2 linked regions of the Arabidopsis thaliana genome follow. The protein of the gene in region 1 interacts with the protein of each later gene in a pairwise test. Each region holds a gene or a part of one and is shown on either strand. Other genes may lie near its edges.

Region 1 (5,012 bases):
GCCCGGTTCTTGAAGATTTAACTGTTGTTAGAAATGTAGATGAAGCCACTGAGAAGGTTTTAAGGGTGAGCTCTCAGTCACTAAACAGTCTCAAACTCGTTATTGATAGTTCCAAGTGTTGGTATAATGATGATAGTGACGATTGGAAGGTTGTCATTGATGCTCCTCAGCTCGTGTATCTAAGTCTTAAAGATGATCAGTCAGTGAGTTTTGTGATAAACAATTTGTGTTCATCTGCAAAGGCAGATATCAAGGTCAGTTTTAATGTGTCCGATATTTGGGATCTAGAGGAGTCGTTCGAGAGAAGCAATGTCGGTAAATTTCTCACCGGGCTCTCAAGCTTAAGGGACATGACTATTAGTGGAACAACTTTGAAGGTATATATGCATACAAATATATAAAACTGGTCATTTGAATGTGTCTCTTAGGATGAAAACTGCATTTTCTTTGTGTTTTGCAGATCATTTGTCACTACTTGAAGCACGAGCCGATGCCTCAGTTTCGTAACATGACGCGGTTACATGCGAAATTCTATGTTTGTGATTTGGAAATGTTGCCATGCGTTCTTGAGAGCTGTCCAAATCTCAAATCACTTGTCTTGGTAAATGATTTTGCTTTAAAAACCACATGTTTCATTGTCACTGTTATAAAAGACGTTTATTCAACTGTTTGGGATAATTGACATATGCAGAAGCTGAAAGGTGAAATGGAAAATGAAGAAATCAGTCTATCATCATCAGTGCCGAAGTGTTTGCAATCAAGCCTTGAGAATGTTGAGATTATACGACCAAACTATGGAAGTGGAGAAGAGATGAAACTATCAAAATATTTCCTTGAGAATTCGCTAGTCCTCAAGAAGTTTAAGCTATGCAGAGATTGTCATAGCGAGGAACAAGAGTCTCTCGTCGTTAGGGAACTCATGACATTCCAGAGATGTTCTAGTGCTTGTGAAATCAACGTTGTTAGATTTCAAAGATAGGCTTGGTAATTTGATTTGGCTATTATGCATCAATTTTGGTGTTTATACTCTATAAGTAATAAACTCAATTTGTGTTTGCAATTCGAGTCTTCTTTCTCATTTCAGCAAATATTCATATACTGAATTACATAGGAAAGTAGAAATTGCAAATACTCAAAATAGCTCATCCGATAACAAGTTATACTAATAAAATAAGATAAAAATCCAAAACCACACTTCCAAGTGTTTTCATCATCTACTCGAAAACCCAAAACCTCTCCTTGATCCACGTCCTTAAGCTCTACCCTTTCCCTTGCCCTTGTTAGAACCCTTGTTGTTGGAACCACCAAATTGTTTGCCTGAGTTGAATGGCCTGTACACACACAATACCATTACACATCATTACCAATTAACATTTTCACTCATATCTTTGGGCTATGAGAAAGATAAAGAAAGAGACAACTCACTTCTTGTTGTTGTTACCACCGGATGATTGACCTCCAGACTTGGGGCTCTGGTTAGCATTCACAGGAGACTTTCCACCCTTCTTAGCTGGGTGTGGTGTGGCGGTGTGTCCTCCTTTCTTCTTCTCTTCTGTACCAACAACACAATGTGAAGATATCTCTTTCGTCAGAATACAACAGAGTATACAACAAATTACTAAGAAAGCTTTCTCATTATTTAACTATCTAATGCTTCTAAGGAACAAAAACAAAGAGAGTTTCATCTTTTCACCTGTCTTCTGAGGAGTAGAAGCTGGTGCTGCTGCTGGTTTTGCCTTCTTTCCAGAGACGGGTGTTTTGGATACAGATTCATTTGGCCTCTTCTTGTTGATTGGCTCAGGCTTTAACACAAATCATATGATACAATTAAGGTCAGAAGGAGAATTAAATTATGTAAAAAGTAAAGTAAACAAAGAACTGCTTGATAGACAATGTATCTACCTTCTTAGGAGTCTCCTCCTCTTCTTCATCCTCAGAATCCTCCTCCTCGTCATCATCTGAGTCATCTTCATCAACATCCATCTACAAAAAAACATCACCATATAATTTATCAACCAACTACTCATCTTCTCCTGACTGTATATATGAGTACTCTAGATAGAAAAACAGATATCATAAACAGCTACAAAAACTCACTCCTTTCTCAGAGTCATCATCCTCTTCAGACTCATCTTCATCATCAGACTCATCTTCCTCGTCTGATTCAGGCTTCTCTTCTGCAGGCTTCACTTCGGCAGGTTTGGCCTTTGGCTTTGTGTCAGCCTTGACAACAGCTGCTCCAGCATTTCCTGAAATGTCAAAAGAAATTGACATATGAGATAACAACTTTTCAATAAAAGAAACAAATACAATATTAGCATCAACAACACATACCGTTGGCAGTAACAGCAGTAGGGGCAGGAGCAGGAACAGCTTCAGGAACATCCTCATCATCCGAACTAGTGAAGTCATCCGTGGAAACTCAATCAACAAGAATTAAGGAATACACAACCAATAAGACATTGTAGCTAAACCTTCTAGTATCTTCCAGTCTTAAATATAGAGACAAAGAACACCTAGTCAAATCTATCAAAAAAAGGATATTGCTCGATGTTGGGGGATTTGTAGCCAATGAAATGAACATTTGCTTTGGTACCGCTGTGTGAAAGCTCAAACTCTTTATCAAAAACCAAATCAAAGCTAATCTGAGGGAACTTGTCTTGTGAAAGTGTTCCAATAACAAGTTTAGCCCCACCAACAGTCACACTCAAAACCACAGATTCTCCAGATTTCACTGTGCAGTCAAGTGAAGCCTACACATAAAGAAAGAGAACCAAAACATAAAGAGACTGTATTAAGCTAAATCCTAAAAACTTTATACAGTTTGGAAGTGTGAAAATAACCTGAGAAATGTGGACAAGGCTGTCTTCTTCAGGAGTCACCTTAGTAGCGTTTTTTGGTGTCACCGCAACTCCTAAATAACATTATACAAAGAAATCAAACATGAGTCACTCATCAACTTGTAAAACATCTACACATAATCAAAGCTGATACCGAAACCAAGCTCTATGTGAAACCTAAACCCTAAATAAGCTACAAAGGCAACAAGGTATGAACATATACACGAAATACAGCTAAATACGATCTTATATGAACAATCGATCAAAATTCTCGGAACGTGGAAAATAGAAACAGTAGACGGAAGATATAAGAGGAATAAATAAAGAATCTTACCCCAGAACTCCATTGTTGTTGAACGAGGAAGAGAGAAGAGAGGTTGTTAGGTTTTTTTTTAGAAGCGAAAGAGAGAAATTGCAGTGAAAGAGGCAGTGGGTTTGGGGCTATTTTATAATCGAATGAGGTTTAAGAAGTCTCTTTAGGGTTCTTCGAGAGTCTACACGGCGTCGTTTTGCCCTTAATTTCGTAACGCTTCCTTTATTTTGGAATATTTGCGTTAATGTAAAATTATTTGCATATTTGGTAAAGATTCTAAATTGATAAATGAAATATTAACTTAAATATTCTGAGATTATTCGATTCTCATTCTCTAAATCATATGATTATGAAAAATAAAACAGAAATAAATCTTCAGTTTTTTCGTTTAAATAGTTTCGGTAAAATATTTATTAGATAATACAACAAAAATTCAAATGATCTTGTCCACCAAAAAAAGAAGCCTTGAAGTGCATAAGAACTCGAGCTAAATGCTACAGAAGAAGAGAGACTCAAGACACAGCAGGAGTCTCAGCAAACAAATCAGAACATTTTGTCTGAATTTGCAGCGACAAAACCACGCTCATGTCCCCAACCGGTGTTTCCCAGAGGCCGGAGTCTTTGAGGTATTCACTGGAGCTGCTATCGGGAGGAGAAGAAGATGATGATGCGTTGCAAGAAAGTAGTCGTGATAGAGACATTAACTGAGACTGAGATCTTGAGCTTCCATAGCTTCTCTGGACACAACCTCGGTTTGCTACCTTTCCCATCTTCAATCTAGCATTGTTACTCGACAATGGAGGAAAATGGATTGAAGCTGATGCGGTATCAGCACCTTTGATGATTCCTGTGTTCACTTTTGATGGTTCTGCTCGATGTTGCTTCCATGCTAGAAATGAGCTTTCTAGTCTTGATTGTACCTGCCAAGTTTACATATATCAACACTAACTTCTTCTAATCGAGACAAACCGAGATTATACTGAAAAATAAGAGAGAGTATTACCGCAGGAAAGAGGGTACACGAAGCAAAAGACAATGAGGATGAAGAAAAAGGAGAATTCCTCCTTCCCTTGTCTGCAGATCCAAAACTTGATGGCCCAAGATCATCATCATCATCATCATCGTCATCATCATCACCATCGTCATCATCCTCATCATCATCATCTTTGTATTTCTCTTCTTGTTTATTCTCTTGTATCTTCTCTTTGGCAGTGACAACTTTCTCTTCTTTATAAACCGGGACCAAAACATCTTCATCCTCTTCAGTTAAACCCATTTCAGTTTTCTTTTCCTCTTCTTGTTCTTTCTTCTTCAATTCTTCATCCATATCTTCTATAGCTTCCTCTAAGCAAATCTCAGCCTCTACTAACTCAAGTTCTTGCTGTATCATCTCCTTTCTCTCCTCATATGCTTTCTTTTTCTCTTCTGTCCATTTCTCTAATCCGTCAAGCATCGGCTTCACCGATTTCTCGATTCCAAGTACAAAGCTTTTTATTGGGTGTTCCTTTTTCACTACCACTTCTTTCCCATAGAACTCGTCGAACCCAAGTGGCAGAAACTCAACTTTTGAAGGATCCACTTCTTCTCCTTCCTCCAGAGGAGGCTGCCAAAATAGTCGAATGCCATGCTTTTCATCCTCTACATAGTTGATTATTCGACCTGTTGGTGTATGTAAAATAACAGGGTCCTCCTTCTGGACAAGTTTTGAAGGATCATTTGGATCAGGTTCAGGTTCTTTGTTCAGTAAAACAAACTCCGGTGTCACCTCCACTGATCAAGAAAATAAAATATAGAAAAAAATCAGTAGAACATCAATGCATTCAACCATGTAAGACTAAAATCTTGAAGGGTCATTACCA
Region 2 (5,078 bases), on another chromosome or scaffold:
TTCTCCATCTTTGTCCCTTGGACTGAAAATTCCCATCTCTCGTTCTCCTTTTTTCTTTTCATGTTTTTCTTTTAATGAAATGAAATTGTTTGAATAATGGTAGAGAATAATGAGCTTTGGCGTTGAAATTGATTGGATCTTTCATGGAGTTATGCCTTTTTCTTCTTAACTGCAAAAAGTTTCGGACAGTACATCTTCGTGGACCGAAAACCATAACCCTTAGCGGGTTGAACTAGTGCTTAGTGCTTAGCAAGCTCCAACTCCTTTGGAGGGACCAAATCAAATGCTACTGGACCACCATCCATCTATTTATAAACAATTGTACACCGGATTGGTAATGTTCATACTATATAAGATAACATGTTGACAAGAAAAATGCTTCTCTTCAGATGGACCTTACCTCCGTAGGTCTAGGCACGGCAGCAACTACACTTGTAGACTCTTGAATTAATTTGGAGTTCAGTAAAATAACTGCCCAGTCCTGAGATGAAGAAATTGGAATCCAAGATAATAGCCGAGTACAAAGAAGAAGCTAATGGAAGATTCATGCGAATAAAGAATATAGGTTCGGTCATATTGTAGCAACCGTGTGAAAACCGTTTTTTTGTTATTTTCTGGTTCATAGGGACCTCAAAAGATAATGTGAAAGGAAACAAAATCTGTGATGCAATGATATGTGCACAGAGGGAAAAGATTTTGGAATCATTGTTGCTTATTGTGAAGGCCAAGCTTGTTTAGCCACAGTTGTCCAACAAAGTTACAAGATGTGCCTTGTAATACAATATTCCTGCGTTGTCAACCCTACTTTATTATATGAAGTTGTTTTTGTGTGTCATGGTTTCCACTAATTTACTTATTAATTTGATTGTTTGATTGTTTTCTATTAGTAAAAAAGTAATATCAACATTATGATTAAATTCTCAAATCAAATAATTATGTTGAAAAGATGAAATGCTTGGATAGCACTGAGCTTTGGACACGCAACAAAAAGTGAGGGAGGGGCAAATTCATCATCAGAAACGTCAGAAACATTATTTATTAGTCGAATCATACTAAAGTTTAACACAGTAATTCTAAAATAATTGACAATTATTACACCTAAAAGCTACTCCATATGTAGAGATAATGATAATTATATACTACAAGTTAGTATTTGTCGACGTCAATATTGTTCTCTTGGTTAATTGTTTTTAAATATTAAAAATTACCGGTTAAGGGACTTGTTCTCATTTTGTCAAAGCTTCGAAAACTTACATTTCAACCACCCAACTAGAACGTTTGTTCTTTTTCTAACAGAAATTTTCCTTTTAAATACTAAAAATAGTACTTACTACATAATATACCAAATACTTTTTTCTATTTTAGCTATCCTCATTATTGAAATAGATGTCGTAGATTTGAATTTACCTTCTGTTAATGTACATATGATAAAAGAACATTGGTTTGTTATGCTAAAATCTCAATAGTTGGAGCTAATCCTATAGTTTTGCTAAAAAAAACTTGTAATCCAAATAACTACAATCAAACCAAAACAACACATGATTTGAAATATCATTTTTTCTAGTGAAAAAATGTTGTCTTGCACTGCTCAAATTCAAGTAGACAATTCCGATTCAATATAACTAAAAATCTCATATTTTATTAAAATTTTATAAACAATTTATTTTTTGAAAGGGATAAACACTTTCAGCTGTTCAATTGTTCATAATTTTCTTCTACTTACATTGTTTCGTTTCCTATGGAAATGTTTAGATTTACAGGTAAAAAGTAAAAAATGTGCTTGAGCAAGAAAAGAGTAAAAAAAAATAAAAAAATCTGCATTTTAGTTGAAAACGAAAGAAATTCTACTGACTAATTTTGTCTTAAATGAGAGAGACCCGAATTTAGCAACTCTTTATTTCTCGGCTCACACACTCCGATTAAGCCCGACGCTCTCTCTCCTCTTTGTCGTCGTCATCATCGTCTCCGGAGTAGGTTGCAGAAATTCAGATCTGAACTCTCAGACGAAGCTCCGATCTTACTGAGACATTTTTGCTCGATTTGACTTTCGCCTTTAAAGCTTCTCAGGTAACTTTCAATCTTCACGAGACTCTTGCTTGACTTGGTTTTAGCTCCTTGTTTGGTTGCTGGGAAATTGACGAGGGGATATCTATTCTCACTCGTCACTCGTTGTTGAGTATTACTGGGTTTTTGGAAGATGAATGCAAGAGTAGAGAGCTAAGTAAATTATGTTGGACGAGATTGTGTAACGTGATTTTGAAATACATTTTCCTTTATTGTAGAGATTATTGTACTGAATTAATGGCGAATTCTCGTCAATATTATCCATCTCAAGATGAATCAATGTCCCCGACTTCTGTGAGATCAAGGGAATGGGAAGGTCCTTCCAGATGGACTGAGTACTTGGGACCTGAAATGGCTGCATCAGTGTCTTCTACTAGGAGCTCTAAGCAAATTGATGGACATGTTGGTGGTTCCACAAAGGCTTTGAACATACAATGGGTAGTTCAAATGATTGAGGTTGCTGACGGTCTCATGGCTAAAATGTATAGACTGAATCAAATCTTGGAGTATCCTGATCCTGTTGGCCATGTATTCTCTGAAGCATTTTGGAAAGCGGGTGTCTTCCCTAACCATCCACGGATATGCACTTTGCTCTCTAAAAAGTTCCCTGAGCATTTCAGCAAATTGCAACTTGAACGTGTAAGTCATGAGTTCTTTTTTTATTAGACTTACTGTTTGATTTGTTGATCTGATGGTAAATGAAAAAAGATTTATTCTGCAATACTTATGCAGATTGATAAGTTTTCACTGGATAGCTTGCATGATGGTGCTGAACTTCACTTACAGAGCTTAGAGCCATGGATACAGGTAATAAGAAACTATCTATGTAATATGTTGTTGGGTTTACGTTCTGTTGTTGTGAAACTTGTTGTTCGAGAATGGTGAAGCATCTCGGAAGTCCTACATGCTATATAGTCAATCTTTCTATTAGTTTTCTTTGTGTACCTAGTCAATCTTCAATCTTCAGTCTGCTATATAGTCAATATTCAATCTTCTATTCCATCTCACCATTAGTCAGCTTTATATATCTGGGCATGCATATATGATTTACCTAATACATGGTTTTAACTTTTAAAATGTAAACGAGTAGTTATTTGCTAGCCTTCTTTCCTTAGTTCGTGTGTAGCATTTCAGTAAGGGGTGCCTTCATAGTCCTCTCGTCATGCATTTTTCTTTTCTTGAATCAGCTGCTGCTCGACTTGATGGCATTTCGAGAACAGGCACTGCGGCTTATATTGGACCTAAGCAGCACTGTAATTACCTTGCTGGTGAGTCAAAGTCTCTCATCTGCGGAAAGTATTTACTTGCTCTGGGTTGAAACTTTGAGCTTTCTTTTGAACTCGTACCTTAGGTGGAGGTCATGAAATGTTTTGGTACATTAAGTTATTATTTACTTGTCAAAAATGTCTGTGAGGATGAAGATAAAATTGTTGAGTATTCATGATTAGCTCATAACTTAGTTCAGCTTTTTGCAGCCTCATCAGAACTCACTTATTCTGCATGCATTCATGGATCTCTTTTGTGCATTTGTCCGAGTCAATCTCTTCGCAGAGAAGGTATGCTGAGCTTGTTCCTTTTCTTAGTTCTTTGTTTATTTGGATTGATTACACATGTCATGTGAGACATTACATTATTATCAATATGTAAGAGTGTTTATTTTATCAAAGTAGATTCCTAGGAAAATGTTGTTGCAAGTCTACAACCTTCTGCATGCGCTATCAAGAAATGATCGAGACTGTGACTTTTATCACCGGTATGGATGTTTTTTTCCTTGTAGTATCATTTTTAATTTGTATATAATCAATAGACTCTGATATCATATATTAACACTCCTCGTCTTGCATCCAGCTTGGTGCAATTCATAGACTCTTATGATCCCCCATTGAAAGGCTTACAAGAAGATTTGAATTTTGTCAGCCCAAGGATTGGAGAGGTTAATATTTTATTCAAATCACGGGTATCCTACGAGCTAATATTGCAACTGATACAGCAGTACTAACAACGTTACTATTTTCCTAGGTCCTGGAGGCTGTAGGACCCAGTATTTTTCTATCTGCAGATACGAGGAAGTTGAGAAATGAGGGATTTTTAAGCCCATATCATCCTAGATTCCCAGATATACTTACAAATTCTGCTCATCCCATGGTACGAACGGCTAGATTATTATCAACATAAAAGCTTAGGATTCTCAGAATTAGTAGGATGCTATTGTCTTTCCCTTACAACTCTACTTCGATGTATAGTGCTAATATTAGATAATACACTCTTGGTTCCTACAGAGAGCGCAAGATCTTGCAAATGTTACTTCGTACCGAGAGTGGGTGCTTCTTGGATATCTCGTTTGCCCCGACGAGCTTCTTCGTGTTACTAGCATTGATATCGCCCTGGTATGAATCTGTTTTTCATTTTGTTCTCGATTGTGATCTTGATAAAGAAGTTTTTCCTCCAAGGATTCTATCTTGAAAACTATCTTATCTGGTCAATAATAGGTTCTATAAATTTGTTTCACAAATCAGAAATTTTCTGCCTCTCTCTGCCTTTGTTTGTAAAATGTTAAGTGCTTTCATTTTCAGTGTTTGTTTAACTTAAGATTAGTAATGGAGTTAGGTTTTTGATGCTCAAAACAAATCAAGATTGCGTGTAATTCGTGCTGTCTCTAATACTGTCCTGTTGTATTTCAGGTCGTGCTAAAGGAAAACTTAGTCGTGACGTTATTCCGGGATGAGGTGAGTTTATATCAAATGGTCTGCGAAAAAGAGTTTGGTATTGGAATTAGTTTTGCATCAGCTGACTCTATTAATCTAACTATGCAGTACATTCTGTTGCACGAAGACTACCAGTTGTATGTTTTACCCCGAGTGTTAGAATCAAAGAAGATGGCTAAGTCTGGACGGACTAAACAAAAGGAAGCTGATCTAGAATATAGTGTAGCAAAACAAGTTGAGAAAATGATCAGGTAACTCCAATTTTTAATAGTTCAGTACTTTGTAATCCTCATCTGATACTGGAGAATT

What was found.
Region 2: the proteins of HD2B (region 1) and GRL come close enough for resonance energy transfer, tested with the Arabidopsis thaliana proteins (one study listed by BioGRID).

What each region holds. Positions count from the first base shown.
Region 1 is NC_003076.8:7,532,295-7,537,306, reverse strand, and holds HD2B (histone deacetylase 2B), read right to left. Parts: upstream 3,362-5,012; 5' UTR 3,188-3,361; coding exon 3,175-3,187; intron 2,915-3,174; coding exon 2,844-2,914; intron 2,754-2,843; coding exon 2,545-2,753; intron 2,415-2,544; coding exon 2,335-2,414; intron 2,250-2,334; coding exon 2,098-2,249; intron 1,984-2,097; coding exon 1,903-1,983; intron 1,803-1,902; coding exon 1,694-1,802; intron 1,553-1,693; coding exon 1,426-1,552; intron 1,332-1,425; coding exon 1,253-1,331; 3' UTR 980-1,252; downstream 1-979. Other genes in the region: AT5G22660 (FBD, F-box, Skp2-like and Leucine Rich Repeat domains containing protein), read left to right, coding at 1-377, 461-601, 692-979; emb1211 (MORN (Membrane Occupation and Recognition Nexus) repeat-containing protein), read right to left, coding at 3,666-4,073, 4,157-4,923, 5,011-5,012.
Region 2 is NC_003071.7:14,800,749-14,805,826, reverse strand, and holds the start of GRL (transcription activator), read left to right. Parts: upstream 1-1,976; 5' UTR 1,977-2,067; intron 2,068-2,282; 5' UTR 2,283-2,301; coding exon 2,302-2,703; intron 2,704-2,796; coding exon 2,797-2,871; intron 2,872-3,251; coding exon 3,252-3,332; intron 3,333-3,539; coding exon 3,540-3,620; intron 3,621-3,734; coding exon 3,735-3,817; intron 3,818-3,912; coding exon 3,913-3,997; intron 3,998-4,083; coding exon 4,084-4,209; intron 4,210-4,343; coding exon 4,344-4,451; intron 4,452-4,745; coding exon 4,746-5,020; intron 5,021-5,078. UniProt on the Arabidopsis thaliana protein: Involved in regulation of actin and microtubule organization. Part of a WAVE complex that activates the Arp2/3 complex.